2 linked regions of the Oreochromis niloticus genome follow. The protein of the gene in region 1 interacts with the protein of each later gene in a pairwise test. Links are inferred from orthologs where the notes say so. Each region holds a gene or a part of one and is shown on either strand. Other genes may lie near its edges. The genes, in order: reep6 and snx15.

Evidence for each region.
Region 2: the proteins of reep6 (region 1) and snx15 interact in binary tests that used the Homo sapiens proteins (3 or more experiments, as listed by UniProt). The two-hybrid records come from large-scale screens. The link is inferred for Oreochromis niloticus from reciprocal best matches to the Homo sapiens genes REEP6 and SNX15.

What each region holds. Positions count from the first base shown.
Region 1 is NC_031980.2:37,187,241-37,202,473, reverse strand, and holds the start of reep6 (receptor expression-enhancing protein 6), read right to left. Parts: upstream 6,273-15,233; 5' UTR 6,179-6,272; coding exon 6,046-6,178; intron 3,501-6,045; exon of another isoform or gene 3,165-3,500; coding exon of another isoform or gene 3,134-3,164; intron 2,362-3,133; coding exon 2,268-2,361; intron 1,714-2,267; coding exon 1,575-1,713; intron 1,358-1,574; coding exon 1,189-1,357; intron 1,101-1,188; coding exon 958-1,100; intron 400-957; coding exon of another isoform or gene 385-399; exon of another isoform or gene 377-384; intron 1-376. UniProt on the Homo sapiens protein: Required for correct function and survival of retinal photoreceptors. Required for retinal development.
Region 2 is NC_031967.2:10,486,551-10,502,277, forward strand, and holds the start of snx15 (sorting nexin-15), read right to left. Parts: upstream 5,755-15,727; 5' UTR 5,618-5,754; coding exon 5,519-5,617; intron 4,977-5,518; coding exon 4,820-4,976; intron 4,580-4,819; exon of another isoform or gene 4,498-4,579; intron 4,043-4,497; exon of another isoform or gene 3,961-4,042; intron 3,458-3,960; exon of another isoform or gene 3,376-3,457; intron 2,826-3,375; coding exon 2,710-2,825; intron 2,544-2,709; coding exon 2,264-2,543; intron 2,166-2,263; coding exon 2,007-2,165; intron 1,337-2,006; coding exon 1,139-1,336; intron 386-1,138; exon of another isoform or gene 304-385; intron 1-303. Other genes in the region: slc3a2a (solute carrier family 3 member 2a), read left to right, coding at 12,865-13,061, 13,151-13,335, 14,133-14,306, 14,470-14,564, 14,765-14,901, 15,205-15,314, 15,422-15,705. UniProt on the Homo sapiens protein: May be involved in several stages of intracellular trafficking. Overexpression of SNX15 disrupts the normal trafficking of proteins from the plasma membrane to recycling endosomes or the TGN.

The sequences.
Region 1 (15,233 bases):
CAATTGGTAAGACTGTGTAATTCTGGACACACTTTCAAATAAAAAAAATAATAGTAAATTTGATTTTCTAAACATATTTATCTCATACTGGGCCTTTAGTTCACCCTCTGGTCCTGATCTTTACTCTGACCCAATGTTGAAAACTACTAAGCAGATCATTTTCTAGTGCTTCTGTTTCTTCTGGACCACTAAGAGCAGCAGGTAAAGTTGAAGAGGGAGTATTAAAAGGTCTGTTCAGGTCTTCACACCTAGGATAAAGTATCCTGTCTGTTTTAGCTTCAAACCATTAAAAGCACTGCTGGTCTACATGCTTCACACCACATTCACTGTCTGTACAACACTGTGCTACTTTTTAACACTTAACCAGCTGACTTACCAAACTGGTTAACCCAGGAAAGGCTGGAACAGGTAACAAGATTAGCAAAAGATCAGCGTTTATTGCTCATCTCCTATATGAACACATAAACACTTGATGTAGATGAAGGACAGGTCTGTTCCAGCATCAACTGTGAGTCCACTTTACCCAAACACAAGCAACAAAATCATAACTGGAGTCCACTTAACAGCCACAGGTGTCATTAATAACCGTGGATTTCTGTAAGTTATGTGGACAACTTTTAAAGATGATAAAATAAAACAAATCAGCTGACCTTTTCATCAGAGCCACTTGATCTAAACAATGCTTGATTGCTTTGAACGCCAAGTACCGATCCGCTACATAAACAGTGTTAGTGGGATTCTATATTGAAGGGACTGCTGATCAGTTTTCCCAGTTAGGTTACTGACAGTAAAGGGAGATGCTACAAGGCTTACTAAATGAGAACACATCACTCAGCAGCCTGTAGAGAGGACATAAACCAGCAGACTGCAAATTTCCAAGTTGCAGTAAGCTGCTTTCACTGATATAGTTCAAGGTGGACAGACTGAGTAAAGGGTGAAAACGTGTATTTTACATACTCTTCTTTCTTCGTTCATCTCTGATGGACCAACTTTAGCTGTGGATGTTTCTCCTGATGTACTTGGTAAACTTTTAGCTTCAGACTGAGCAACAGGTGGCGATGGTGTGATCACAGCTTTGTTCTTCACCAGAGTGGTCAGGACTAAGGAGGGAGAAGAACGAGAGAGAAAGTACATACATATTTAAATCTTCTGTAAAAGGCCCTAGCGGTGGTCCTGGGCCAGTTATACCTTCTCTGGTGAGGTTCTCGGCAGCACTCATGGCCTTCCCACTGAGGTCGCTGACCATGTTGTCCACTGTGGCCTCATGGCGAAGGAAGGCAGGCCGAACCACTTTGTTGTAGATAATCTGTGAGCCATTCCAGGACACTGGGGCCATGCACCACAGTAAGAAGAGACACTGGAACCACATAAGAAGGAGATTACTGGAATCACTAAAACCTTTTACCTGATCTCAATTCTAGTATGATGGTCATAGTCCTTCAAAAAAAAAAAGGTAGTAGTTGATATAAATGCAGTATTGCTTCTATAATTCAGCCTAAAAGAAGCATTTTGTTCTTTAGGGTGATCCATAAAAGGGTCTAGCACATATCATTGGTTCCTAAATGTTTTCTCACCTTAAAAGCGTAGTAAAATGGGAACCAGTAGAGGAAAATATCAGAGAAGAACTCGCCCAGACTGAAGACACCGTACACCACCCAGTAGGTCAACCATTTTGTGTCATCTTCTTTGCACGGGCTTTCGATGGCTTTGACTCTGCACAAAGTTGGAATATTGTAAAAGAGCTGAGAAATATGTTGATCCTTCAAATATGATAAAGACATCTGTGCCTCTGCACCAGTAACACGACTATTTGCTTTAGTCACTGAACCTTATTACAGATATAAATATCATGAACTTTAACAATAAAATCAGTCACAATTTCAATGATGTCACCTCCAAATTATCCAGACAAAGTCATCTTTATCAGTTGTGCTTCTTCAAGGGCAAAACCAGAATGCACATCAGACAACTTCCTTAAGCTTAATGACATTAATGTCTGAAAAGTTATAATAAAATTATTTTTTGAAATGTAGTAAAATGTCTTAATATAAATGCATAAAATGTCCAAATATCAGTAAATATATACTGTTGAAAAGATTGATATATGCCAAAAATGTCACAAAAAGATAATAATACTGAGAAAACTCAAGTGTATTGTAGGCACAGTTGTTATACTGTCCTATGAGACTGCCACATGGATCCACTGAGTATGACTTCCTACAACAACGAGGAAAAGAAAATAGAAAAAAAGAGAAATAAAAACTTACGAATAATAAGCTGGATAAACAAAACCAATCAGGTTGCAGAGGAGGGAGGCACCATATCCGTACACCAGGTAGAGTCCGGTCAGCGAGACGGCACCTGGATGAAGACAGATGTTTTGTTTTCTATGTACTGCTGCTATTTAGTAATATATATATGAGTCTGGAATACAAACACTGAGAAATGTGTCTTTCAAATATTTAAAGGAGTTATACTCTGCTTTCTTTTACGCTCTGAAGTAACATTTCCTGTAAATCACAATGCATAAGTGGGGTGTATGAGTGGACAAGCCTCGACTTCCACAAACTTTTTTGCAGTTAACAGTTTTACAAGTAAGTGTTCAAATCTATTTCATTAGACTGCATTGCAAAAAACAGCCAGTTTAACACAGACTCGACCAATTTGGAACAAAATTAATGCAGAAGAAAGTGTTTCCTGCGAAAGACTTCTTACTGACCAGCAATGTAGACATGGACGAAAGAACAGGGCCATAGCATTAAAAGATATGCTTGATATGCATGCTCCCCACAGAAAGGCACCAGACCGGATTCAAACTCAGGACTTCTTCTATCTAAGAGGCAGCAATGCGATCTGTGCTTCCACCTTAATGTACATTTCCATATATTTCATAACCTTCCATAACTTACAATGAAGAAAGGTAATGTCCATCATGAACAGGAAGTAAAACCTGTTTCATTATCCGTGTAAGACAGAAATAACAAGGTATATTCTCTGCACAGTGTGCCCGGGCTCACAGGCCAACAATGTGGACATTTCACCCAAATATCAAAACAAATCTGAACAACAAGCAAAATTTCACTGATTGTCTGACAGCCAGACGGACAGGAAGTACTGTAAAAAAGTGTCCTACCTCTGATCAGCTTATGTTGCTGTTCACACATGGAGGCGGCGCTGCTCTGCTGCCTGTCTCTGTGGATAATCAGCTTTAACGTCAAGGCTCAGAGCGGGAGACAGCGAGCACCAGGCACCACGCTGACATCATGTCCTGCTTAATGTGCTACAAATCCACTGCACCAGCATCAACGTGCTCTCAATACACTGCTGTTCCCTGCTCACTGGATCACTGTGTTCACACAGACCTGAGAGCCCTTTTTAAGACTACCAACAAAATACACTGTTTGATCTGTATTTATTTTTAGAAAACAACAAAACTTTCTTGTAAAAATGTCGACAATATTTATAAAACAATATAATGTGCAAGAGCTTCAGGAATTCAGCAGGAAAGGCAGAAGTAGAGTAAAGTGATGGTTCTCTTCCCATTTTCTGTTAACACTGAACACACTGCTGTGATGTTTGAATAACCTTTACTGAACTCACCGTAGACAAATCAAGTATGGAGGTTTTGCCTTTAAGATTTTATGGCAGAAACGTTTTTTATTTCGACCTGAACAATGAACTCCTGAACCCACAGAGGTTTTCTTTGTCAGAGCTGGATGGAAAAGCCATTTTTATGGTAAATGGACGAAAGCACTTTTCTACTCTATTTGCGCACTCAAAGCGCTTTACACAACTTATACATTCACCCATTCACACAAGCACTTTTTTTCATAGCTGGTTCTAAGTGCTTACTATCTGACATTTACACACATTCATACTCCAATCCATGCATCGGAGAGCAACATGGGGTTAATATCTTGCCCAAGGATATTTGGCATGCAGACTGGGATTGAACCACCTTCCAGTTACCTGCTCTACCACCTGAGCTACACTCACCCCCATTTTCAGTTAGCTAATTTGGATGATTTGCCTTTTAGAAATGAAGATGAAGTAACATGGTGTAAACTAATTAAAATTCTTGAAATCAGAAACCCAACAAGACCTTTGTTGGGGTGGCTGTGGCTCAGGCGGTAGAGCAGATCAGCTACTGATTGGAAGGTTGGTGGATGGCTTCCCCAGTCTGCATGCCAAATATCCTTGGGCAATCCATGCGTTCATTGGAGTGTGAATGTTTATTATTTGCACTTAAACCCCAAATAATTAAATATCAAGAGCAGCCTGAGAGTCTGTGTAACTCTTCCAAGGCTGAAAATTTCAACCTTCCACCAAAGGAATTGAGTCCCGGGATCAAGAAGGATATTTGATCTGAATTCATTTGTGATGCTTTCTTGAGAACATTTTCTGTTAGGTCCACACAGGACTAAAAATAATTAATAGGCCTCCCTCTAAATGGCTAACGTGTTGTGACCATGTTAGGGACCACATGGTCTAGGAAACAACTGACACTAAAGATATAAAATAAAGTCAAAAGAAAGAATCCTGTTAACAACCTTAGCTTCTGTTACCCTCTTGATATCCAAAAGATTACCAAAAATGTTTTTTATTTTTTATTTTTTGTATAGCTTTGTTTTTAAATTGGTGAAAACATTTTAAAATCTGTGACATTTCAAATGAAGTCTTGTGTATTTTGCTGTAACAGAATTTCTTTTAAAATATTCTCCATTTGTTGTTGCAAACATGTGAAACTTTGATTTAAAGGGGACTGGATGAGTTGCCAGTGTGGGTAGGATAATTCTTTTGATTGTTTCTAAGCAGTTATAATTCTCTTATTTCACCTGTCATTGTTTAAGGTTGCCCTTTATGCTTATGAAATTATGCGTCATTATAAACAATGACTGGTGTCCTATCAGAGTTTGTTTTGGGTTTTTTTGTCTGAACTTAGCCAAAATGTGACAGAGAAATTAATTAAAGGTGGAAAAAATACAGCTTTAGTTCCACACAAGATACTAGCCCCAGTTTCAGTTTTTCCAATTTCATTGTACTATTGTACCATATATGACTGTGCAATAACAATAAAGAGTTATCTTTAAGAGACAGAGAGTTATTCAAGGTTACAGCTGCAGAAAGCTTTTGGGACTACCGCAGGTTTCTTTGAACCACATTAGTGTTTGTGGATATTTACCCATTCAGAGTGAAGGATTCCTGGTATGAAGCCTACACAGATGTGCTTGTGTGTCCTTCACAAAACCAACAGTGTATACATCGCCAATTAAGCCATTTTTTTAGGTATAAAGCTGACTATTTGAAAACTGGATCAGAACAGGAAAGAAGTGATAGCGGGTTACAACAGTGAGGAAGAAATGTGATAAAGATTATGCTTAACCTTTAAAAAGCATGAGAAGTTCAGACAGTGGCTATAGGACAGCTTCTTTGTTTTTGACACTCGGTTTCACTTCATTTTATGACTGGTCTTCTGTGCGGCAGGCAAAAAGTTACACATAAGCTGAGCGTAGGACCAGCATCAAACTGGGGTAAAACCAGTCCTTTAAAGCTGCTAACATAGTTGATCCAAGAACTAAAACATAAGAAGATATAAAGAGACTTCTGCCCATCGCTGCTTAGTCAGAGAAAGTACTAAACATTAGTCTTTCAGCTCAGGGTGATACATGTCCTATCAAAGAACTGGACACAATGAAGCAGGCACTGCCACAAAACCAGGAGCTTAATGATCCTAAAACCCCGAAGGGCCGCAGAGCCAGTTTATCTGAGTTCAATATGACAAAATATTTATTAGTGCAGAGGATTAACTGCAGAATAAATGAAGCAGAAAACCTCCTGAACATTACCAGCTTCCTGTTGTGGACGGCAGCTGATCACAGGAGGATTAACTGAATCCTCTTCAGGTTTCCACTGGCCTGCAACAAGCTTTATACAAATCAACTACATCTAGAACGAGAGCAGAATGATCCAGAAGTAGCCATGTGCTACTACACAAAGCAGGCAAGTTGGGAAAAAAATAATTCTAGAAGATTAAATCACACGTACCAAGAGCAATGACCTTCTTCTTGATCCCAGTTTTCTCCTCCATTTTTCCCAGAATATCTGTCACCACATTTTTCTCATTTAGAAACTTTTCAGCTCGGTCTTTGATAGAGGTGATAATATTCAGCAGGCCCATTTTCCTCAATCTGGTCCTCAGACCACAGAGAAGTCGGAGGACAACAGCCTGCAGTGAGTCCGGTGCCGAGTTTAATCCTCTAACAACCACAATCTGCTATAATGAGGAGGAGGAGGAGGAGCACGCAAGGAGGTATTGAGAAGTTCTTTTTATAAATATTTTCATTTATTAAAGACAGAGTAAAAAGTGAAGAAGCTATATACATGATATATATCAGCTAGGCTTTACACAGCTTTATAGCTCAGCCACTGATCAGTCAATTATTATCAATGACTGTGCAACACTTTTGTGCAGGTTAGAGCAATTTAAAATACTTTAGAGAGGAGTGACAAAAGTCTATTGTAAAAAGAATAAAGTCCAAAGCACACAGGTTACAACAGCTATTTAAGTGTAATAAAAAGTGTAATAAACATGATAGGTTTTCTGTATATATGATCCATGACAAAGGTTTGAAGGGAATTTAATACTCTTACCTGATGTTTTTCAAGAAAACTCACATTTCCTGATAAAAAGGTGGCATTATTCCTTTATGCAAGTCAGTTTTCCATATATCAAAGATAAAAACAAATTAAATAGTTACCTGATTTAACATGGACTCTTCTCCCTTTGAGGGTCATTTTGTTCTTGCATATTTGGAGTACCTTCATTTCTATTCCTTTAAAAAATGCAGTTCTAAAAAAGTTTGAAAGTGACTGTCATGTGAAAATGGCCAGCTTTATATCAATAATAATAATAATAATAAAGAAGAATGAAATGAAGAAAAAGGATGCCTCACCGGTTGGAGGCATCACTTCCTGAAAAATGAGTGAGACTACTGGATAAAATTCTTCACTTTCTCTCTTTTTGGGGGATTTTTTTTTTTTTTTGTCAAGTCATCTATATTTGATAACAGCATAATAAAAGGGGAAATTCTATTTTTTGTGTGTCACCCCAATGTTTTTAGTGGTCCCCATATAGCCACTCTTTTAAAAAAAATTCTGGCGGCGCCCCTGTCGGGTACAAATTTTAGTGTCCATAAAGATGCGCAGGAACGACGGAAGTTTAAGCTTCCTTCAGAATGGCCCAGGACAAAGAGTACATACATGCTACAAGTTGTGTTTTGTGTTAAAACCCTCACTGTATTGTTTTTATTATTGTTTAATTATTATTTTTTTCTTTTCTATTATTTCACAGTTGTGTGTTCTGTCAGACTTTGTATGTTCAATTTAAAATAAATAATTAATTTTAAAAAATAAATAATACAGTGGCCGTGAGTTAGGTCGCTAAAAATATTACGACCCCTCAACTGCATCCTCGCATGATGACATCATTCTGCGACAAGCTTATGAGCGAACTGAGTGAGTGTTCCTCAAAGACGCGAAGCAAACGTAAATTCTCTTTTTTAGGACTGATTCGCATCTGAAACTCGGAGACGACAGGTAGGAGAAACGCTTAGCTGTACTGTCAGCCTCGCTTTGGCAGCGTGGAAGGTCAATTTATAAAGTAGCGCCTATGTACTCAAAGGAATATGATCACCTAGCCACCCGTTAGCATCGTGCCGCTGTGGTTTGGCGAACACGTCACGCCAAGCTCCTTTCAAATCTCTTGCAGTACATCGTGGTCTTTCTTCTAGAATCTAGAGCGAACCTCAAGTGTAATAGAGGGAAACTTAAAGACATATAGTTAACTGTCGAAATCATCTGTCAAATCCGGCCTATGTTGCATACAGAAAGTAACACGGGTTGACTAAATACAAGCATTTTAGCATCAGCTTCGTCCTTTTGTTGACACATTCTTTCCATTTCGAGTCATGCTCAGTCGGAAGATAAATCAGCTGCTTGTTAACTTCAAAGAGATACATTCGTGTCCGATGAGTTAGCTGTAGTCTTAAGTTGTCAGGGTTTCACCAATACAGCATAACCGCCTAATTCAGTACTGATTATAGTAATAGCGTTAGACTGCGAGATTTGCCAAAGCAGTTCCAGGAAACCCATTTTTAAACGTAACGTATATCCTGAAGAGCCAAATAAATTCTAGATGTGTGCTGATTTTTTAGTTGTCCTAACTGGTATGCTAGCACGCTAAGCTAGAAATTAGCCAGAGATCTTGAGTCAGTGTGTGTGAGGTGACTCCTCAAAAACTTCACTGATTTGAGCAGTTTAAAACACGACAGACAGATCTCCTTTATCAGCTCGCATCAGCTGCTCTTCTGTTTGTGTAATGGTTTTATGTTCAAAGGTGGTTAACGTTAGCTCTGCTCACACAGTGCTCGAGTTGCTAGAACATTCTCCATGCTAATACCAAAGGGGGGGTGGCTAAACATACATCGTCGTGATGGTGTGGTGGAAAGAAGGTACATCCATGTCTCTGAGCATTAATCACTGTTGATACTAGTTGTTAATGCATTATTAATAGCATCATCTGACAGAATAACCACACAAAACTTTACACCCCCCCCCCAAACAGCAATATAGCAGAGGCTGAAACAAAGAAGTTTGTGCAATGACAATAAAGGCATTCCTTCGTGCTGCAGAGATCAAATTCAAAATAAGCAGGTATGTTCAAAAAACATCAAAGTTGGTACTCAATCCTGGTTGATACCAAGGAAAGTAATAAATATAACAAAATGTATGCATGCATGCATATAAATACATGCTGCATGTCTACATATAGAGTGATGTGATTAAAAAAAAATCAGACACATCTGAGAGCTGATGAGGTTAATTACTGACATAATGAGGTGTAAAAAGGGCATTACTGATGCTGAGTATTTCAGAATTAAAGATGGGGTCTGCAGTTTGTGAGACAGAAAGAGTTAGAGAGCTAGCAGAAATTTCATGAGGGGAAAAGGCTGAAACAAAAACTTTTCCTGTGACCCTTAGGCCTGCAGGCAGCACAGTTTTGAAAACAGACTGTTTTTCATAGTGTAAATGCACGGCCTCGGCAACATTTCTGGTTTGGTCAGTACCGCGTAAGGTGTTTAACATAAATTCCTATAGTGAACTAAAGTTAGCCACACTTGTAAGGTTGAAAACTCTGGCTTTAGGCTCAGAATACATTACTGATATGCCGTGTTTACCCTCTGATCTCCTCCTAGTGTCGTTAAAACAAGAGGTTATGTAGTACGAATTCAGACTTTACTGAAATATGTTGCTCACATCAAATTCAAAGTTGGCACATATTCTTTTAATGAACAAATGCACTGCACTATTTTCATATAATACTTAAGCGGCATTTAAGTGATTTGGATTTCATTGCATGCATTATGTACATTTACAGGGTTCCGGTTCTTATTGGAAATAAGGTTTTAGTTGCAGGGTGTCTCTCCCTCAGTGAAGACAGAGACGCAGCACCTCTGCCACCATGACAGACAACAAACGCCTCGCTTTCTCCATCATCCAGTTCCTCCATGATCAGCTCCAGTCAGGCACTCTGTCTTCAGATGCTCAGGAGAGTCTCGAAGGTGAGTCCTCAGACATGAAGAAGAACAACATGAAGCTGCTCAGTTTGTTTCTCTCCTGACTCAGAATGCACACTTAAACTTTCTCATGGGGAATAAGTTTGTGTTGTAGTGTCTTATAACCATGGACCAGGGAGATCATAATGTATGGAATTATTATTATTGTTATTGTATTTGTTTTTATTACAAAAGCTCAAAATTCCAGTGACTCCATTTGACTTTGATCATGGTCAAAATCATCACTGACTATTATGCCAGCAGATTTTCTGACGGAGTCAGCTACAGCACTAAAATAAGTTCAGTTTAATATTTCTTTCCACAACATATATAAGTATACAGCGTACATAGTCTGGCTTCATATGTCCGAGTCTGGGTTGCAGGAGCAGCAGAGGAAACAGAAGTACAAATATTTCAAGATTAAGTAGAGTAACTAATTTTTAAGTATCTGTACTTTACTTGAGTATTGTTTTTTTATGACAACTTTTTACTTTGACTCTCTACATTTTTACACAAATCTGTATTTTTTACTGCTTAAATTTTCAAAATGGGTTTGTTACTTTGGGTTTAAGACATTAGTCTGTGTCTTCAAACATCAGACTGATTTGAGCCAAGTAGCCCAGTTGGGACCAGTAGCACATAAAAGACAGTACTATTGGTGTATCCATCACCAGGTTGTATCACGTACAAAGAAATGAAAGAGGCATTGTTTATAGAGCTAAGTGGACCAGAACAATCCAGTGGTGTTCTTGGTGCAGATATCCCTAAGTTGTACAGAAGAGGAGCGAGCATACAGGGAATAACATGTTAAGTAGCAGGTATTTTCAAGTGCAGCGTTTCTGTAATTGCTCAACAATCATCAGCAAACACACAAACTGTTCTTGTGCAGTTTGTCATGGAGTGTGTTTGCTAACTAAAGGTCCAGCTGCTGTATTTCCCAGGGAGAGAAAAGAATGAGAGATAACTTGAGTCAGAGATGGAGAAAGATGTAGGAGAAACAGGACAGGAGAGGACGAAGAGGGGTTATATTTAAAGGTAAGGACTGTCCAGTGACAAACTGATAATTAATTGACAAGCTGGATATAAAGGCTACATGTAATGTCCTGATTTTTTAATCACATACATACTATATATTGTGTGAAGCTATGTGTAACATTCCTGCAAAATAGACATGATGCACGAATGCATCATGTCTATGAATGCAGGTTGCATAAAATCCTGCCATTTAATGCAGGATAAACAAGTTAGTTTGCTGTACTGTAAAGCACTGTGTTGGGCTGGTGCACAACAGTTATTTTGTTTATGATCAGTATTAAGTTACATATAGGATGGCTTACAGGTTTACCCATCAGCCAAATTTCACTTTACCTCCTAACTATACTATTATTGTGTCATTACGAGGATTAGCACAGGTTTACTTAGCTTTGTGCAAAAACAGCTGGTAGAAATGAGTACATTTCAGAGCCTGTACTCTTTCACTTTTACTTGAGTGAAATTTAATCAGTACTTCACTTTTGTTTCACTTTTTTAACACAAGTCTCTGTACTTCTGTTAAAAAAATATCTGTACTTCTCCCCAACCCAGAGTGCACATTAGATCAGTGTTTGAATAGAAATCTTGACCTTGAACTTGGATTTGTTATTCACATCCCAGCTGCTACCCACTTGGCTACAAACTATTCGCGCCTCATTACTATAGCAGCCAGAGCCTTTAGATCAGGGGTCTCCAACTCCAGGCCTCGAGGGTCGGTGTCCTGCAGATTTTAGATATTGCCCTGTATCAGCACACCTGAATCACATGATTAGTTCATTACCAGGCCTCTGGAGAACTTCGGCCGTTTCTCAATTCTCAAGTACGGGAGTACGTACTCACCGAGAACGCGAGCACGGACTCGCGATATGTACAGTTGGAACACCTGCGTACGTGATGATGTCACAGGTCTGGAGTTTTTACTGCCGTCCCCTCCTAATTTAACTGTGAGTAACATGTTATGAAGCTTAACTTTAATCACAGCCAAACCGGTTTACTCAGGAACAAATAAAACACTGAAATACACCAAACATTAACATTTAGAAGTGATCTAAGTGACTTATATATCATTTTAACCTCAGTAGTGAAACCTCTATTGATAAAAATAGTGTACATGTACATACGTGTACATACCTTAATAAAAACAAGCAGGTGAGATGTTAGAACGCTTTTATTTCTATTCTAGTGGACACTCAATACTATAGACAGCTGCTGGGGTTTCTTTAACCTGAGTAGTGAGAAGTCCGCGAGCGGGGGGGCGGGCGTTGAAAACGATGTGCCGGGAGTCCGCTGTTGAGTTTTGGACGAAATGCATTCTGGGATATTTAGCTGTACCAAGTCCACACCGATGCATGCTCGATAAAACGGGCGGATCGAGAACACATCGCGTTTTCGGTTGATGCATACTTCGAATTGGAACAGTACTTGGTCTCCGACTGATGACGTATCACGAGTACACGAGAACGCAAGTACGCACAAGTACGCATATTGAGAAACGCCCTTTAAGACATGTTGAGGAGGTCATTTAAATCAGCTGTGTTGGATCAAGGACACATCTAAAACCTGCAGGACAGGGGCCCTCGAGGCCTGGAGTTGGACACCCCTGCTTTAGATACTGGGCTTAACTCCTGTGAAACCAGTGCTGCTTCGTCATCTTCTTTCCCCTCTTTTCACTCCCAGCGCCCTTATATTGCATGTCATTACCTTTTGTAAACTCTCTAAATTTGTCCTTCTTTGTGTTGTCATCTGTGTTCCTCTTTTATCTTACAATATACGGTGTCTTGAGATATCTGTCGTGTGTGTGCTGTATAAATAAAACTGAATTGTAATAAATTAACAAGGAGCAAAGAGATGATCCCAGAGACCACTAAACCTGACACCCTTCACCTGCTGAATGCTGTTGCCCTGTGTTGTCCACAAAGATTATTAATAGAATCTGTGACATAGGGCAGACTGGCAGTTTGCATTGCCATCACTAATTCAAAACTTGTGCCTGGTAGGCATTGGTTCACTGCAGTAGTATAGAGACCAAATAGCTCGCATAGTACATGTAACACATGCTGAAACACTACATGGATGCTGTTGAATACTTTCTCTAGATTAACAAAACAAATGGTGTCTAGATGAGTAAACCCACCACTTCAAAGTGTCCTTGAGAGGATAAAGAGTTGGTCCAATATGCCTCAATCAGTAGGAAAACCTCATTGTTTCTTCTGAATTTGAGGTTCACCTATGCCACAGAATGTTTACCACCATATCCGGCTGTTCCAGAGTCGCTATCCTCAAGTGTGCCTCTGAAACAGTTGGATTCTCATTTTATCGACGTGTCAACCAGGAAACCCCCACAACACCCGAAGAACTCAAGACAAACCTCATCTGCATATAAGTCCAGTCACCAAATAGTTTTTTAACTAACTCGGTGACCTCAGTTAATCCACTTTTCCCCCCAGAGGATTGAAAAGGACCACAGCCTCTGCCAGATGCTCCAAGAGAATACCTCACTATGGGCCAATTTCCAAATAGCGCTCATAGGTGTGGTTATTTTTACAGGTGATTTACAAGAGTTGTGCTTTTTTTTAACACTGTCAGTCAGTTCATTATCAAGTGCAAAAAATAAGACATGCAAATTTTAGTAAATCAGTTTGTGTGCTTGACTTAAATACTCTCCTCCCTGAACTTCCAGAAATAGATGCAACAGGGTCAGTCACAACAAATCTCAGTTCCCAGCCCTTATACCCAATCTTGTCATTGTGCTCTCCTAGTAAATATCGACAATACTTTTACACCAGAACCAAGTTTGCACTTGTGCAGTTCCTTAGTAAACCCGGCCATACATGCTCCCAGACTGTTTGTTATCCTCCCCCAACACCTGATCCAACTCGCCAACAGGTGAGGAGACCTCAGGACGCACAGGGATGTTTCTGATTCCACATCTTGGAGTAGTTGAAAGATCACGACAGATTGAATCGTTTTTCCTTTTGTGTGGCTTTTTTATTTTATTTTTTGGAACCAGCTTGTTGTTGACATGGTCTTATTGTTTTTCAGTTGCTGTTCAGTGTTTGGAGACAGCGTTTGACGTTTCTACCGATGACCAGAGTCTCGCAGTCCCCATGACGTTACCGGAGATCTTTACCGCCGCTACAGCAAAGGTAAACACAGAAAACCCTTGCAACTTTCCGATCTGTTTCAGTGTTGTATTGCAGAGATGACAAATCTGCACATTTTGCATTAATTTCCTGCAGCTAGTCTGAGTTAATTTCACTGCTCTTCCAAAGCCAGAGCTGAAACGAAATACACAATAAATACCAGAATTATTTGCTGTGGCTTACAAAAGGCAAAACAAGCCATTACATACTGGTGAAGATCCAAATGCCATTCTTTAAACGTTTAAAATGGAGCACTGGCCTTAGTGCAGGTTGCAGCAAATTTTAATTTTACATGAGTGTTTCTCTGTGATTGTGCACACCTGAAGAGTCCGTCTGTCTGTTTTTAATAGTTGTTTTACAGGAAGTGTCATTTAACCCAGTGTTTGTTTGTTTGTTTGTCAGTATGCAGCTCAGTCGCAGGTCAACAACAACTCCACGCCAAACTCCCCAACAGAGGAACAGAAAGCTGAGGCTGAAAGACTCAAAAGTGACGGTGAGTCCAGGTGGCTGGTGTGAACATGTTATCTAGAGCAGCTAGTTTGTCTTTGTGTTCATTTGTAGGGTTAAGCTGCTACAAGGAAGACATGATGCAAATGAACATGCAGCTCCTTGAATCAGGTTTTTGGAAAGCTGTAGGAAGTTTTGTTTAAACCTTTGTTTTCATGACACTCTACAACAAAGATGGAGGATTCACAGAGGCAGAGCAGATACATTAACTGGAAATACAGCAGTCAGAAATAAAGTTAGGTGATAATTTACTCAAGAATAAATGCAGTACTGTTGATGCAAGCAGGCAGCAGAAGTGGCCTCAAGGCAGGTAAATGATGTAAGCTAAAGTGCTGACTTCTGTCTAATCATCTATCCTCAGTATAGAAATAGGAGGACATGTATTTATTGTTATCCGGTCTTTAAGTCTGACATCATTAGCCGTGCCGGGTCCAAACTCTGCTTCAGGTCCCAAAGTCAAACGAACACTGCGGCATCACTGAGAGTTACAAACTGTCTAAATTCTTTCATCTTTAATAAAATGATCAGCGTTGCTGCTTTACCAGGTGTAACAATTAAGTTTAACATCCATGAAAACAGGATTTATTAAATTTAACGAAGTTAGAAGTTAGCAGGAAGTTAGCTCGCTAGCTTCCACCTAAACATGATATAGCATGTTCTGACTGAGAGATTCCTGAAACATTCAAACGTACAGCTCTGCTATCACTTCCAACATAAATGAAGACAGAAAACTAAACAGCAGTGACGTTTGTAGGGTTACTGAAGTTGGGCTAGCTGCTATATAATGATGTGCTACGTGATTGCTAGCGACACAGCTATGTTAGCATAGCATAAACACAGTGAAGCTGGAGGATGAACGCTAACTTTTTCCCACTCGATAAAAGTTAACATGAGGGTTCCTGATGGTTAGGGACAAATGCAATCGCATGGCAGGATG
Region 2 (15,727 bases), on another chromosome or scaffold:
AGAAAAAATGCGTCTCAACTGCTCCGATACTCCTGACACATAGGGGATCCTGACCACTCCTGACCACTCGACCACACTACCACAAACTTCCCTTTAAGAAATTTCTCAGCACTCAGATCATCAGCCATGATAAAAAAAAAAAAAATAGTACAGCAGCTTTTAATTTAACAAAGGCTAAAATCCAAAATAGGCAGAACTCAGGTCTCACAAACTAACCACCACTTTGCAAAAAGGAGCAACTCTAAACACGGTTCTTCTTATGAAGCTACTGAACTGCATTTTCCACACCTGAAAAGGTTTAAGTGGCAGTGGTGGGATTTGAACCCACGCCTCCGAAGAGACTGGAGCCTTAATCCAGCGCCTTAGACCGCTCGGCCACACTACCTGCACATCAGGCATCAGGACACACTAGTGTGGGTGGACATGCTGAAAGTTGATTCTGGTCCTTTAGACATAGGGGACTGTCCCCCTATCACATGAGCCAAGGTGTGAAAATGGGTGTAAGTCACAATCCAAGCTCCTTAGACGAAGAGTAGAACTGTTGCAACATTTCCCTTTGGCCATAAACAAACGCACAATTCCCCATAGACAACTGATGTCAGAACTTACTTGCCAGTAACACAACAACTTACAGCAAAATAACAGGTAAAGCAGGAGAGTAAAGTTGTTAACGGCGCATTTATCGGCATGGTAGCAGCACATCAGACAAAGTGCTTGAATATGGTCGGTGAGGCGTCACAGCTGTAAACCTAACCGCACAATTTATTTTTCATTTGGACATGGTGCACCGTCTGGCATTCTGCAGGTTTTGCAGTTGACAAAGTGATTTCATGGTCTATCGCCATAGCAACAAAGCTGTTTTAATAATTGATGCAGAAATAGACATGACAGAGAGCATTCGAGTAAAATGCTCCATGTGAAAAAAATAAAAGGTTTTTGTTGAACTCAGAATGTTCACAGCAGATTAGTAATTCTAATTTTCCACCACTGCGACAACCACCTAGTATTTCACCCGTCTCCTCAGCTCCTTCATCAGTATTTTTAGCTCTTACAGGAGTATCTCTTCAACTATATTCTTCCCACCTCTCTTTCTCTTTCTCCACCCACCCACTGATTCTTTTGTACACCAAGGGCTCACCTTGTACTCCAGTGATCAGAATATCCACTGCCATCCTGTACCCACAAATGGCAGAACTAATTTCTCCCTCCTTCTCCCTCTCCATGGCAGCTGTCAGCTCCTTGGCAGCTTGGTTTAAGTAACCCCCGTCCTCTCCGTCCACACTGTTTGATGGTAGTGAGAGCAACTCCGAGTGGTCGGTGGAAGAATTGGATCTATCTGTAAATCAAAGAAAAAGAGATATTGTAGTAGTAGTGATATTGTCTTTAGTTAACTATGTCTTATGTTTTATTTGTTAGGTTTTAAAAAGTCACTATCTAAAATAAATCACTGGATGTGATGTTTTTAACCGGAAACAGCAGTTAAGGTCTGCTGATATGTTTCATTTTTGGGACTGTTAATTAAACAAAACAGCCAATGTGAATGTACTGCCTAGGCCTGTGTTTAAACTGTAATGACACTCTGAACTACTTCCTGACCACTTAGAGACCAAATGTAAATAAACATTTGGAAGATGCCTCTGGATCCTTCACCTAGAAGATTAACTCAAGAACTGCAACATTTAATGGTCTTCAAAAAATGCTTTTTTTTTATTGTACTTCTATTTATTTTTATTATTGTTATTATTACTTATTATAACCAAAAAAGCCAGGTGAAGGAAGACTGTTATTATATTTGACAGCACTGGCTCACCTCCTAATAGCAGCTCCAACATAAATGTATAGACATTTACACTAGTATATGTTATCAGGAAGCCTCAAAAAACACTGATCACAGACATCTTCTTATCCACTGACACAGTAAGTAAAAGCGTTAATGGATAAGACACATATTCGGGAAGACTAAAATCAGCTTTATATGATTACATTCACATTTATTTTGGCATCACCTTGTTTATAGCAGGGATCGAAAACAGCCAAGTCATTATCAGACAGTGGAGGAGGAACTTCTTCCTTTGGGGATGGGAGTCCTTCAGCCACAGAGTCAAACAGTGAGTCGAATTCTTCCTGGGTCTCTTTTGATTCGGGGTCCGTGAATGGAGATGGGACTGGAGGGAAAACACGGACCACAAAAGTGAGAACAACAATAAGAATAAAAGAATTAAATAAGGACATAACAGACCATCACACATTGTGAGATTTCTACCTCGGTCATCCAGCTCTGTGTCGCTAAGCTCCTCTTGCTCTTCTTCTGTTGGAGATCCTCCGATCTCACTGTAGGCTTCAGCTGCCACTTCTGGTTCTCCCACTTCTAAGCTCAGGTTATTGCCCAGATCCTGGGGCAAGGTGGGAGCCTCCCTGCCCTCCTCTTCCTCAGCAGGCTCACAGTCTGATGCCCTACGCTTGGGGAGGGGGATGAGAGGAGGAGGCAGAGACCCCGCAGAAGAGAGAGGTGTGGCATCCAGAGGCCTTGTTACCTCACCACCCTGAGTAAGGGAAGGGATAGTGTGGCAGCGTTAGAGAAAATGGGGTCTGGTAATAAAATGAACGTTGACCTGGCATACGTTTTTTTTTTTCTGTCGTTTAATGTTTGCTAAGATTTGAGTAATGGTTGATTTTGATTGTAAGAGTGCCTCTCTGAGTGTGTCTTACTCTGAAGAACTCCTTCAGCTGTGGGCTGTTATACAGAGCAGGAATGCTGGTAGTAAACTGAAGCATGGCCTCTGCTGCTTTTCTCCTTTCCTCTATCACAGCCCCATCAAACCTTCCTAAAATTACAAGAGACAAAAGGGAAGTGTTACAGTTTCTTTTTCACTTCTGAAGCTGCCGTTAGCATTAAGTAATCGCCATTTGTCGAGGTTAAAACTGCTGCCACTGCCAAACAGTCTGACTTCATATTAAGCAGGGCATGAAAAGTTGAATGAACTCATGAATCATTACTGTTTATAGGTACGGCTCAACTGATTTGCTGTGGTTGCAGTTTGATTTTAGTAACCACTGAAAAATGAAGCCACTTCAGCTCTTTGTGTACTATAACTCTGCTCTTCTCTTCAGCTGGCTGACGGACCAACATGAGCATGAGGAACAGCGGACCGCAGACCGAGTTACCTGACACTGTCTCCATCGACAACAAAACTCTCTGCAGGGAGTCGCACCATTCCCGGAATATGCTCCTCCATTTGCTGAACCATATTTACACTTGAGTTTTTATACACAATACAAAGTTTCGCAAGAAGATCAACCCTAAACATGATGCTTCTAATTAAAACATAAAGAGGTGTGTCTTAAACTTCCCACTGCCAAATGAAAAGTTTTACTTGGCAGTGGTGGGATTCGAACCCACGCCCCCGAAGAGACTGGAGCCTTAATCCAGCGCCTTAGACCGCTCGGCCACACTACCTGCTGAAAGACTATGACTCACTGTCCTAACTCATTTTACCTTTCTCAGAATACATTTGAAGAGAGGGCTGTACTCCACAGTTCTGACATGCTATCTGTGAAATTAACTTTGATTGGTCGATGTTGCTGTACACATCATAACAAAAGGTCCACAGAGATTTCAGGCTTTCATCATTGCCACACTACCACAAAACTGCCCACCTCCCATTCAGACTTTTCTCATCAGCATGATCTGATAAAAAATACAGCACAGGCGCTTTTCATTTTCAACACTCATGCAAATAGACTGCAGGAGGAAGGCAAAGGATCTCTAGAGAACACATACACACACTCCCCTCGAATGCATCTGATTATAGCAAATTTAGAAAAAAAAGCTCATTTTTGGACAAGTCTGGTCAAATATTTTGAACAGTTCTCAGGTAATTATTCTGTCAGGAAGGGTCACATTAAAACAAATGGAGCTACCTGCTGCAAATAACAAGATTTTAAAAGACTACTACATGCTGGCAGTGATGGGATTCGAACCCACGCCCCCGGAGAGACTGGAGCCTTAATCCAGCGCCTTAGACCGCTCGGCCACACTACCCGCTCGAAGGCTATGACTCACTGTAAAAAGATCAAAGGTAAAGGTCGATTGCTTGATCGTCAATGTTGCTGTACACGACAGTGAACTGCCCACCTCCCATTCAGACTTTTCTCATCACGAAGTTCATCAGCGTGACCTGATAAAAAAATACAGCACAGCTGCTTTTCATTTTCAACACTCATGCAAATAGACTGCAGGAGGAAGGCAGAGGATCTACAGAGAACACATAAACACGCTCCCCTCGAATTATTATTATTATAGCAAATGCACATTTTTGGACAAGTCTGATCCAATACTTTTGAACACACGATTTCTCTGATAATTAGTCTCATGAGTTACTTCAAAATATTTAAATAGAGACACAAAACCCTCTGGGGTTCTGTCAGGAAGGGTCAGATTAAAACAAATGGAGCTACCTGCTGTAAATAATGAAATTTTAAAAGAGCACTGTATGCTGGCAGTGGTGGGATTTGAACCCACGCCTCCGAAGAGACTGGAGCCTTAATCCAGCGGCTTAGACCGCTCGGCCACACTACCACAAGACAACTCTCAGTTCATAAGCAAAAACATACAACACAGCTCACGACAGGCAAAACTCACAAACCAAAGCTCTGCAAAAAGACCGACGCTAAACATGTCACTTCTTATAAAGACAAGTAAATCTGAGAGGAAATGTCACAAGAATTGTGATGAAAGTCTGAAAACAGGAATGAAAGCAATAATTGCATAAAAGGCTCCACAGGAATGTAAAGCATAACACAATCTTTACTCATGTACCAAAAAGTTGTGCTCGGGGAAAAGGTGGAAACTCCTCCTGTCTTCTGAACAGGTTCCTGTGCGTGTAGGCCAACTCCCCATGGAGCTTCTTCAGCTCTGAGAACCTCCTCCACACAACCACCTCCTTCACATCTTCTGGGTGACGCTTGGACACAAACTGCAGATGACAGAATAAAGTAAATGTCGCTTAACTGGCTGCATGTTTAACAATGAGACACAGCAGATTTGCTTTGTGGTAACACTGCAGAGGCCACGATTTAAATTATAAATTTAAGAGAGACCAATGAGTGCTTGAACAAAGCTTATGAAGACATGATCCTCTTTGACTTTATAGGCATGCCTCTGTAGTCATGAGGGTGCTCATGAACTGGATCACAAGTTCTCTCTGTTTCATTTGACTGCTCATTGTGCACCACTGCCTCAAATAAAAGGCCCGTTGTATAGTTATTTGTTTATTTATATGAGCTAGCTGCGGGTCGTCTGTCACTCTGTTAGAAATGCACACTATTTATAATAATACCAAGTCACTTACTTTTAAGCTAACACCTTTGTGCTACGCATTTAAATTTAAAATATGTTTTGGCAAGTAATAAGCAAAACAGCTAACCACGTAGTTATTAAGCATGATTACACCCGGCTCTACGATAGGTTTCAATTAATGACGCTGTAGCTAAGGAGAGATAAACAGTGTAAACTCACCCTCGCCGTTACTTTGTATTCGGTGTGGCCCTTCTCGTGTGTGCGTGGGTCGGTAACGGAGAAGAACCGATAATAGTCTTCTTTGAGTTTCCGTGACATGTTTGCTCTCGTTAATAAAAGAAAAACGGCGTTGTTGTTTTAGCGGCAAGAAACGCGAACAGTCAAAGGCTCTGTTGTGATTCTTTCGCCCCTCCTCTCCGTGGATGTATTCATTTCCTGGTTGGTGACGTGTACGAATGCGTGATTACGTAGGAGAGACGAGACGTCAAACTATTCAGTTTAATGTTAAAAAAATTATTTCCTCCACTAGGTATATGAAAATAAAATTTTACATTAAATTTTTTTTTTTTTTAAATGAGTCCATAGTTTTTACATGCGTTTTTCTTTCTTTCTTTTTTATATAAATTAAATCTAAGAAGCTACTATGGATGGACCCAATCCCAACTGTCTTAGGACAAGAGGCACTGTGGACTGTGGTAGGAAGCCGGAGCATCCAGGGAGACCCCACGCAAATACGAGGAAAACATCTAAAGGTTAAAACTGGAATAGTAAGATGAAATTATATATTAAAACTATATATAGATGTAAAAATTTATATAACAATAATTATATGAATATATGAAGATAACAGTCAGGACTGGGTCAACTGTATCCATATCCACTGTAACCATAATGTTACTCACTTTACCTTTCTCTGATTTTAATATTGTTGTTGATCGGTCACGGTTTATTAGTCACATTGTCACAAACAGTCATAAAAATTCCCTCTAACTTGTATTAAACATGTAATTATGAGGGAAATACTCCAGGGGGTGCTCTAATGTTTCGTAGTTTTCAACACAGCATAGACACTCAATTTAAACATTTTAAATTAAGATACTCATTTTTATTTTTATGACTTGTTGTGTTTTTCCTCATATAAACCCCCAAAAACTGTGTTTGTGCTGCTAAAAGGAAACAGATTCTGCATCAAAGATGGCGCTAAAACAAAAAAGGCACATAAAAGTGTTGTACATACCCTTTTTGAGACAATAGAACAAAGTGAACAACAACAGACGTTACTGAGGAAGCTCCAGCTGTGCATATTGTCTAACATCCCCTAACACTGTATTCCCAAGCTTTTATCTGTTTCCCATAGGCTATAAATGTAATGATCAGAGGCATGTTCAGTTGATATATCTGATTCACCTATTTACAGCAACACAAAGGCTTTGAAATTGTCAAAATATCCTGAAGATCCTTATATTCAATGGTCCAAAGCCTTCCTCTCAAAGCTTTGAACAGGATTCTGAGTTTAGGCTGAAGCTCAAAGGTCAGTTGTCATCTTTATTGGTCTCTCTGGCAAATTACCAGCTAAATTATAAGAAAATGTTTAGCATACCAAAATGACGTAAATGTTTAATTGGGAGTTACTTGCCAGACTCGTTTGGAATTGACAATGACAGACTAAGAAACTAAGCTCAGCAAACAGCCTGTAGTCATGCTGCAATGTCCTATTCAGGTCCATATGGAGTACCTGTATGTGTTTAACCTGTGTTTGGGTGGAAGGAGTCAAAATAGCAGAGGATGGTTTCGATCCATCGACCTCTGGGTTATGGGCCCAGCACGCTTCCGCTGCGCCACTCTGCTCACACAGGAGGAGCTGTCGCAAAGCCCTTCACATGGCTCAGCTGTTTTGCATTCTTATCACAAAAAGGGGGCCTTCTTATATAATTTGCAACCACTGTTTCCTGCTGACAGGAGGAGGTGGGTAGTTATATAGAGAGGGGCTCAACAGAGGGGAGAGGGTTTAGAGAACCGGGCAGAAAAATGCTGTAATGGTAGAGAAGGTGATGGGAATACAGGGGAGACAGGAAAAGTCAAACTAAAACAGGCATTCTTTTAAATATGTCAAGTATATTTTTCAAACAGCTTAAAAGCAGAAGTCGTGTGTACGTACAGTATTGTGTGCTCTGTAATTTCTGCAGTGTGTGAGGTGTATTATTGTAGATCGTTTATATATATATATATATATTTTTCTTAATGGTGCATTTTTAAGGAGAACTGACTAATTAGCTCCATTCATGCAAAATTAAAGAGAGGGAGGCTTTCCAAACCGAACAGGCTCCTCTTTGTCTGTGAGAGGAAACTAGGTCATTCGTTCTCATTGTCACAGGAAGAAGCAGGAGGCGCTGCTTTATGGGCAGAAAAACAATCAGAAGAAGAGAGCGTACAAGCAGAAAAGTTACGAAATGTACAGTCGGCAAGACACGGCACACGTGTGGGATCAGATCCCCGCTGTGGGACAATATATTAGTTACATAACTGAGAGCGCTAACGTTAAACAATATGGCTCAAAGTCCACGTGCGTATATTATGATTAATTGCATGTTTCGCTCTGTAAGTAATTCTCTTTATCACCAGTGCAGCACAGTCATTGGTGGATTCTTCCTTTCCCCTCTATCCATGACACAAAATGTAGCCACGCATGTTCTGTTGGCTGTAGATCCAAAAGACAAACATGCTCATGTTTGTTGAAGAGGTGAACAAATCAATCTGTGAATACACCTTTGCACTTTTTAGATGAGATTAAAGCAGCATTTCCCCGAACTTCATTCGTTCGGTGTGAACTCTGAATGCGAGAGCTCATTGCAGGGAACTTGCAACAATGAGATGAAAGCGTAAGCTCTCGGCCAGACTGGTCTGAACTGGTCTGAACTGCTGATTATTTTCCTTTTTTTTCTCTCCTCCCAAGCACATGCTGTCTTACAAAATAAACTCTCTCACAGGGATCAGACCATTCTTGGTGTAGCCATATGTGTGCGCGCGTGTGTGTGCGTGAATGACTGCATTCAGTGAGATGATCACTCGAGCCCTGACTGACTGACACTAATCTAAACTTTAAAAATCTAAGCAAAAAGCTTTCACACAGTACTTCTAATCAGCTCCTAATTTGCCCTACTTTGATCTTGTTACACAATCAGTTACTATGGTAATGTGAACTGTGACCTTGAACCACAGGTGGAGCGTAATGCACAGTAATCCCTGTGTGTTCTTCCCCCGTCCACTGAGAAAACAGAAAAAACCAAACTATTCAGCAACTTTGGCCTTCTTTCCTCTCTGTTATTATGCTGTGGGGGTCTGTGTGCTGGCTTATAGACTCCAGCAGAACGTCCCCTCCTCCTCTGCCAAAGGCATAAACAAAGAAGACAAGTCTAGGAGTGAATTAGTCCCTCCGTGTCCTCGGAGAACTTGTTGTGATGGTGGCTGATGGGTTTTTTTTTACTTCTTTTTTTATTGCCAAGTTGGGATTGATTCGGTTTTCCGAGGATTCAAATGCTGCTTGGATTTTGACCAATTTATCCTGTAAACTCTGTTTAAGCAGAACTGAAAACCTCACAGGGCTGAGACAACATGTGCGAAAAGGACACTAACGGTCTTTCCGTCGCTCTAGGCTTTGCTTCCATTAATACCCCGAGCTGTGCTCCGCTCCAAATTTTTGTTCCAACATATTCCTCACCCTCAGCTCAAAAACATGTTTACACATCCCTGCCCTCTCTCTGCCTGTCTGCTCTTTCCCCTCATTCCTAGTTCTCCTCCCTCCTCCAGTCGCCTGTTTCCTGATCTACTCACTCCTCCTCCCAGTTCTGCTGTTTTTACAGAAAAACAGAGCATATTCCGTTACTTCTTGTTATATCCTCAATGCTTCCCAGCTGGAAAGCACAGTTTGTCCACATCAGCCAATGCTCAGCAGCTCTGTTACAACCTGACTCTGCTACTTACGCACACATGATCAACAGGCTGAGATAAAAACAGAAACAGATGGCGTGTGTTTGACTTTGGTGAAATAGGAGAAGCGAGCACGAGTGCGCGTGTTTGGAGAGGCTATAACAACGTTATCGTCGTCATGTAGATATGCAGCTGCCAAACACTGGTTATAAAGTTAGATTTGATTCTTGGGCATATTTAAATAGTCAGCAGAAGACATTTAGAAAGGTTTTAAAATTAGTGACATCAGGTAGCAAAAGCCTGGCACAATGACTAAGCTGAACAACAGCAGAGTATAAATAGATTTAATGTCACACATCTTAAATTAGACACCCCTCCCTACCACTACCTAAGATTTGACCGAGATATATCCACATAGAGAAGAACATGTACCAGTGGTGAAGTCTGAAAATGAAATAAACAGGCACTACACTGTTTCTGGAAGACAAAAATTAGTCCCTGAAGACAAATATGGCATATAAGAAGATCATGGTCTAATCTATAAGACAAAAATCTTCTGTGGGACTTTGATTAAGTATATCTTTCTTTTCGTTTTCACTCATATTCAATCAGTTTTTTAATGCCGATCATAAAGGCTTTCCACTTCCCAACAGATAGCCGCCACTCTAGTTTATCTTTTGCCTGATTGTATATATACTCCGAAGTGGCCTCTTGAACAGGACACAGAGTTCACTGAACTCAAATGATCTCCACAGTCACCAGATCTAAATCCAACAGAGCTCCTTTTGGATGTGGTGGAAAGAGAAACGTATCATGCACGTGCAGCTGACAAATCTGCAGCAACTGAGTGATGCTATCATGTCAATATGGAGCAAAATCTCTGAGGAAAGTTTCTGGCGCCTTGCTGAATCTCTATTACAAAAAATTAATGCAGCTCTGAAAAGGGGGTCCCAACCCAAAACTAGCCAGGTGTACATAAATGCTTCCTAGTAAAGGTTGCAGTACTGTTACAGGACTCTGAAAGCCCAAGCTGTTAGAGTCAGTGGACTATATTGGATGTATCACTACAAAATAAACTGATTAAGTGGTCAGATAAAAAAAAAAAAGTTTGAAATTAAGTGCCATAACATGTCACATCTGTGAACACAACAAGCACAGAACAAGCGTACACATGCAGGGGTTAAGTTACAGCAGAGTGGTGGAGCGTGTTTCTGCAGTTACCTGTCACTGCAGAAAGTTGTTTTCTTGCCCTGCTTAGCAGAGACAGAGAGAAACAGCACCAGGGTCGTGTAAAGGGCAAAAACACTGTGCAGACATGGAGGAGTAGAGAGCAACAAACAGCCTGAGAAGACACAGATAACACATCTATATCACAGACAGCCAGCAAGGTTCTTTGTTATGGTTGCACTGTAAGAGCAGAGGGAGAATTGCAAACTGTAAAATCAAAGTTTGCACCATTGCACTACATGAAACACACACGAGTATGATTCATTTATGCAAACATTTACGGCAACTATAAATCCAAGCATTCTGCCTTCATTCTGTCTAACTTCTATGTCATGATAAATCACATCAGTGTACGGCAAACTGGACAATTAGGGTGAAAAACATGCCCCCCACACACATACTTATTTAATGTGCGCTCTTCCTAGAAGTCTACTGTTACTTCTAGGAAGTAAATTCTGTAGCTTTGTTTGTAACTTCTCTTACTGTAACTTGATGAAGGTCAACAACAGCTGGAGAAAGATTTAGAGCCCAAACTTGGACAGCAGGATGTTGGTTTTTAGATTGGCTGCGCCCAAATATTGTCTCCAACAGAGATATACATTGTTAGTGTTGGCATGAAATAATCTGTCATCGGCATGAGTGTGATCAGCTTTAACCCAGAATCGACACAGAAAATAAAGTCACAGCAGCATGAACCTGACATTTTCAAACAGGGCCCAACAACATATTTTATACCTTTACAAGGAAAAGATGCTCAGTTTTAATCTGTTGATCAGCTCCCAGGAGAAGCATTGCAAGTACAATTCAACTCAAATTTTGTTGTTTCGGTACTATAGACTCAGCGTGATCACAGGAGACTAAATGGTCAGCTGTTTATGCTTAAACACTGCAAACAAGGTAAAAAAACAAACCAAGAAGGCGACAGAAAGGTCCTCAGGCGTGAAATTAGATCAGTGAAACACAGAGTGGCAATCTCAACTGATCAGAAGAAGACAGCTAGATAATCACATTACCAATCATCTTGCCTGTGAAGCAAACTGCATTATCTTCAGTTTGCATAATAACTGATATGTGAACTTGTAAACAGCATTTTGTAGAGCGTTTCATTTACACCATTAAGAAGGAACAGAACAAAGTTTTCTTAGTTTGGAGCATGGCGTTCAGTTTGTTTATTAGTTTGTTTCTTAGGATTTTTCTTGGAAGAAAGAGAGACAGCAAGCGAAGGAGGGGAGGGAGGGAGGAGAGAGATAGAGAGAGGGAGGGATTATCGGCTCCCCCAGTAGGCGGAGAAACCAGGGCGGGTACAAATATGCGCTCTGATCCTCTCTACACGCTTAGTAGAGAACAAGGAATAACCGGCTGTAAACTAAGAGCCAAACCGGGACTATACATTGTATTTTACAGGTAATTTGATTTACTTCATCAACTTTTCTGCCACTCTGTAAATTCAGACCTGCCGTGTTATCGCCGGGAGTAGTCTTCAGCTCACAGCCGGATAAACTGCCTCGTGTACAAGCACGTGACGTTAGGGACGGGTTTGATTTCATCATCTTATAGGAAGATGGAATTATACAATATCACACAGTTTTTGGAGTTGTTATTGCTACCGGGTCGATTTTAACTTTATTGGGTTCGGTGAAGGTTTCACAGACATTTACGATGTACTTGTTTGAAGAGCTTTTATTTAATGACTGTTGAAGCGAACTAGAACAAACCGGTCAACTACTAAACTTCCGGTTTACACCACTTTAATCTTAAAGCCATGTGTGTATTATATTAGTTATATTAAACTGTCAGAGAGCTACTTGTTTTGTTTTTTGTTCTTGTTGTTGTTACTAACAAATGTTCACTGTCGTTTAGTCGTGACATTTGTTTAAATCGTTTTCTTAAGTCTGTTTGCTATTGCTATGCACTTATTTTGAAGGGTAGCTGCAATATTTCCGTAACTCGAGGCTGACCACGTGAAGTAAGAAGTTGTAATTGTTTCATCAGACACCGGTGGAACATATGAGCATCTCAAGAATGGGTTTTCCGTTTATTTGAAATATATATATATATATATATATATATATATATATATATATATTAGGGAACAGCACCGCCACTCCTGTTTAATTCCTACATTAAAAACTGGGCTAGCTTAATGAATCTAGTCGTTGCCTGTATGTCCTGTGTAGGGGGGGATGTGTTACATAAGGGTAGACAAAAGGCGAGGGGATGAGACTTGGCCGGTACTGCCTTAAAAAAAACAAACAAAAAAAACCAAATCCCTCTACTCCTTTTGGTGGTCTTGTGTTTTTTTTTTTTTGGGGGGGGGGGGTTAGCTCTTGGGTGTTAGCCAATGAAAGTGCTTTTGCAGATAAAAGTTATTAATTCATAATTTTCCTTTGTGCTCCACCTCCAGTTAAACCATGAATAAAGACACAGAGATCGACATGAAAGAAGTGGAGCTCAATGAGCTCGACCCAGAGAAGCAGCCCATGACGGGGGACGGTCAGGCTCCAGGCGGGGAGAAAAATGGCAGCGTCAAGCTGAAAGTTCCCGATGATGAGGTTACCTTCACCGGGCTGTCCAAAGAGGAGCTGATGAAGGTTGCTGGCACTCCAGGGTAAGAGCTGCAGCTAAGAGCTGTCTTCCTCTGTGGGCGTTAAAATCAGTGGACACTTTTACATTATTATTTTCGTTTTTCTTCCACAGATGGGTGAGGACCCGCTGGGTTCTTCTTGTCCTCTTTTGGTTGGGCTGGATTGGTATGCTTGCTGGAGCCATTGTAATCATAGTCCAGGCTCCTCGCTGCAAGTCTATCCCTGAGATGAACTGGTGGAATGAAGGGCCTCTCTACCAGATCACTGACCTTGAAGCGTTCTCTGAAGGATTGAAAGGTAGACTTTTTTTTTTTTTTTTTTTTTTTGGGAGAGCTTATGAAGAAACTTACTTTTGTTCTTGCATTTAAATTTTTTTTTTTTTTTTTTTTTTATTGCGCTGCCATGTTTATTCCCAAGATAAGAGTTGGAGCTTGCACTATAAAGTGCCCCAGTCTGAAATTGGGTAACATGCTCTGACTTACATGGATAAAGTCTTGTGACAGTCTCTTGGCTTTCATTAGTTCTCTGTGGCCTGTGTCAGCTGGCTAGATATCAAATTGCTGACTATGCTGCCACAGTGTGACTAAAGGTCTTAAGACCATTTTAAAAAAATGAAGACGTCATCTGTTTCGTATCTCTATTCAGATACAGCCAAGTTGAGCAACTCTGGAATATATCAAGATGTCGTGATCTGTACATATCAAAAAAATGTTTACTACAGGCTTTTTTAAAGACAGGAAGGAAGAACAGTGCTTACTACTGTTCATAAAGTGAACTGGTGGGGAGCACTTGGTTTTAACAGGCTTTGGGTGGAATTCCAAAAACTCCACGTGACTCAGTTTTGTTCTCTTTATCAAAGCCACCCTTGTGCTCAGGCTTCACATGGCCAGCAGAGGGAGAGGCTGGGATCCTTCACATGGTCTTGCCAGCACTGCGGCGCTACAGTCTTAACTATCAACATGTCTGTCTGTCCTCTGTCCCTAACCTGCTCACACCCTTCTGCTTCTCACACCCTTGTTTTTCTGCCTTATGTGAAATTCACACTGACCCAGCATTTCATTTACTACCTTTTTTTTTTTTTTTTTTTCTTTTAGGTGTTGAAGGAAAGTTGGATGACATTAATCAGCTAAAGGTGAAAAGCCTGGTTATCGGACCTCTTCATATTGTCTACGCCAACGAGAAGATGACTCTGGACCTTCAAAAAATTAGTCCAGTGTTTGGAAATGCTGAAGATCTCGATAGCTTGTTGAAGGCGGCCCACAAAAAGAGTACGTAATTTTCTGATTTCAGATCAGTTACTTGCTAAATCGCTCACACTAAAAGAGTAACTGGTGCTCTGTTCTTTCATTAAGAGTGGTTTCTACTTATTGCTGGATTCTGTACTCTTGAGGACCAGATGTGAGCAAACATTTGCTTTGCTGTTTCTTTCAGGCATTTCTGTGGTGCTTGACCTGACTCCAAACTACGAAGGAAATCCTGTGTGGTTTGACGAAAAAGACCGTAAAGAAATAATGGAAAAAGTCAAGGTAAGCACACAGATTTAATATTTAATTATTTGCAGTAATAAGGCATATTAAGCAACATCACTGTCTTTACATGTGATAAACAAATGGCACATTTTTGACTTTTGGCCCCATGGACAGATGATTAAATTGGACATTATATACTGTGGTGTGGATTCGGGTCTTGCTGCCACTGTAGTTAACTTGAATCTGTTCTCTTCCAGGCTGCAGCCGAATACTGGCTGGAAAAGGGTGTTGATGGCATCAAGATATCTGACCTTGGCATTGCCTCCACCAGTCCTGATTGGGCCAAACTGCGGATGGCTGTCCAGGGAAATGGCACTGATGACACCAAGAAGAGGTTAGTGTGGCTGCTATGTTGTGACCTGTGATTCAGCACAAGTAAACAATGCATGCCACTACACAGGGTATTTTATTTTAGATTCTTAACTTTAGCTAATATCCAGACATATGATAACAAAGTTGTAGGGCTGATCTGTCCTGGAAAGGTAATTTTAAAAGCATCAGTAAAATCAGGTACAGGATACGGTCTTCTGAGAGAACATGGACATGAAATGCAGTCCCATCAACATTCAAGGAAGTGTTTCAAGATGTATAAGAAGTGCAAGTTCTTCACTGACCTGATCCTATTCTCTTTTTTTAGGGCTCTGATGGGTGTGGTCAACAGTATTTCAGCTAATGAGGTGTCTCAGCTAGTCAATGTCTCTGGTGTCGATCTAATCTTGTCCGACCTGCTCAGTAGAAACACGGGAGGTAGGCTGCTACTGTTTGCATAGTAGTGATGATTGTCAGTGGCAATAATCCTAAGTAAATGTCAAAAAGGTGCTTTGTAGATGATTATGGTACCTGAATATCCACAGGTAAAGAGCGCATTAGGGACCTGGAGACCCTCCACTCTGAGCAGAGAAAAATAGGCTGGGGTCTCGGTGCTGCTCAGAAGGACCATCTGTCTAAACGGGCAACGACTCGGGGCCTGATTCGTCTCTACCAGCTTCTGCTCTTCACCTTGCCTGGAACCCCTGTGTTTACCTACGGAGATGAAATTGGCCTTCAGGCAAATCAGATGAGCAACAAAACAAACCAGACCAGAGAAGCTCCGAAGATGGTTTGGAATGTAGAGAAGGAAGAAACTGACGGTGCTAAGGTAAGTGTGGGTGTGTTCAGTC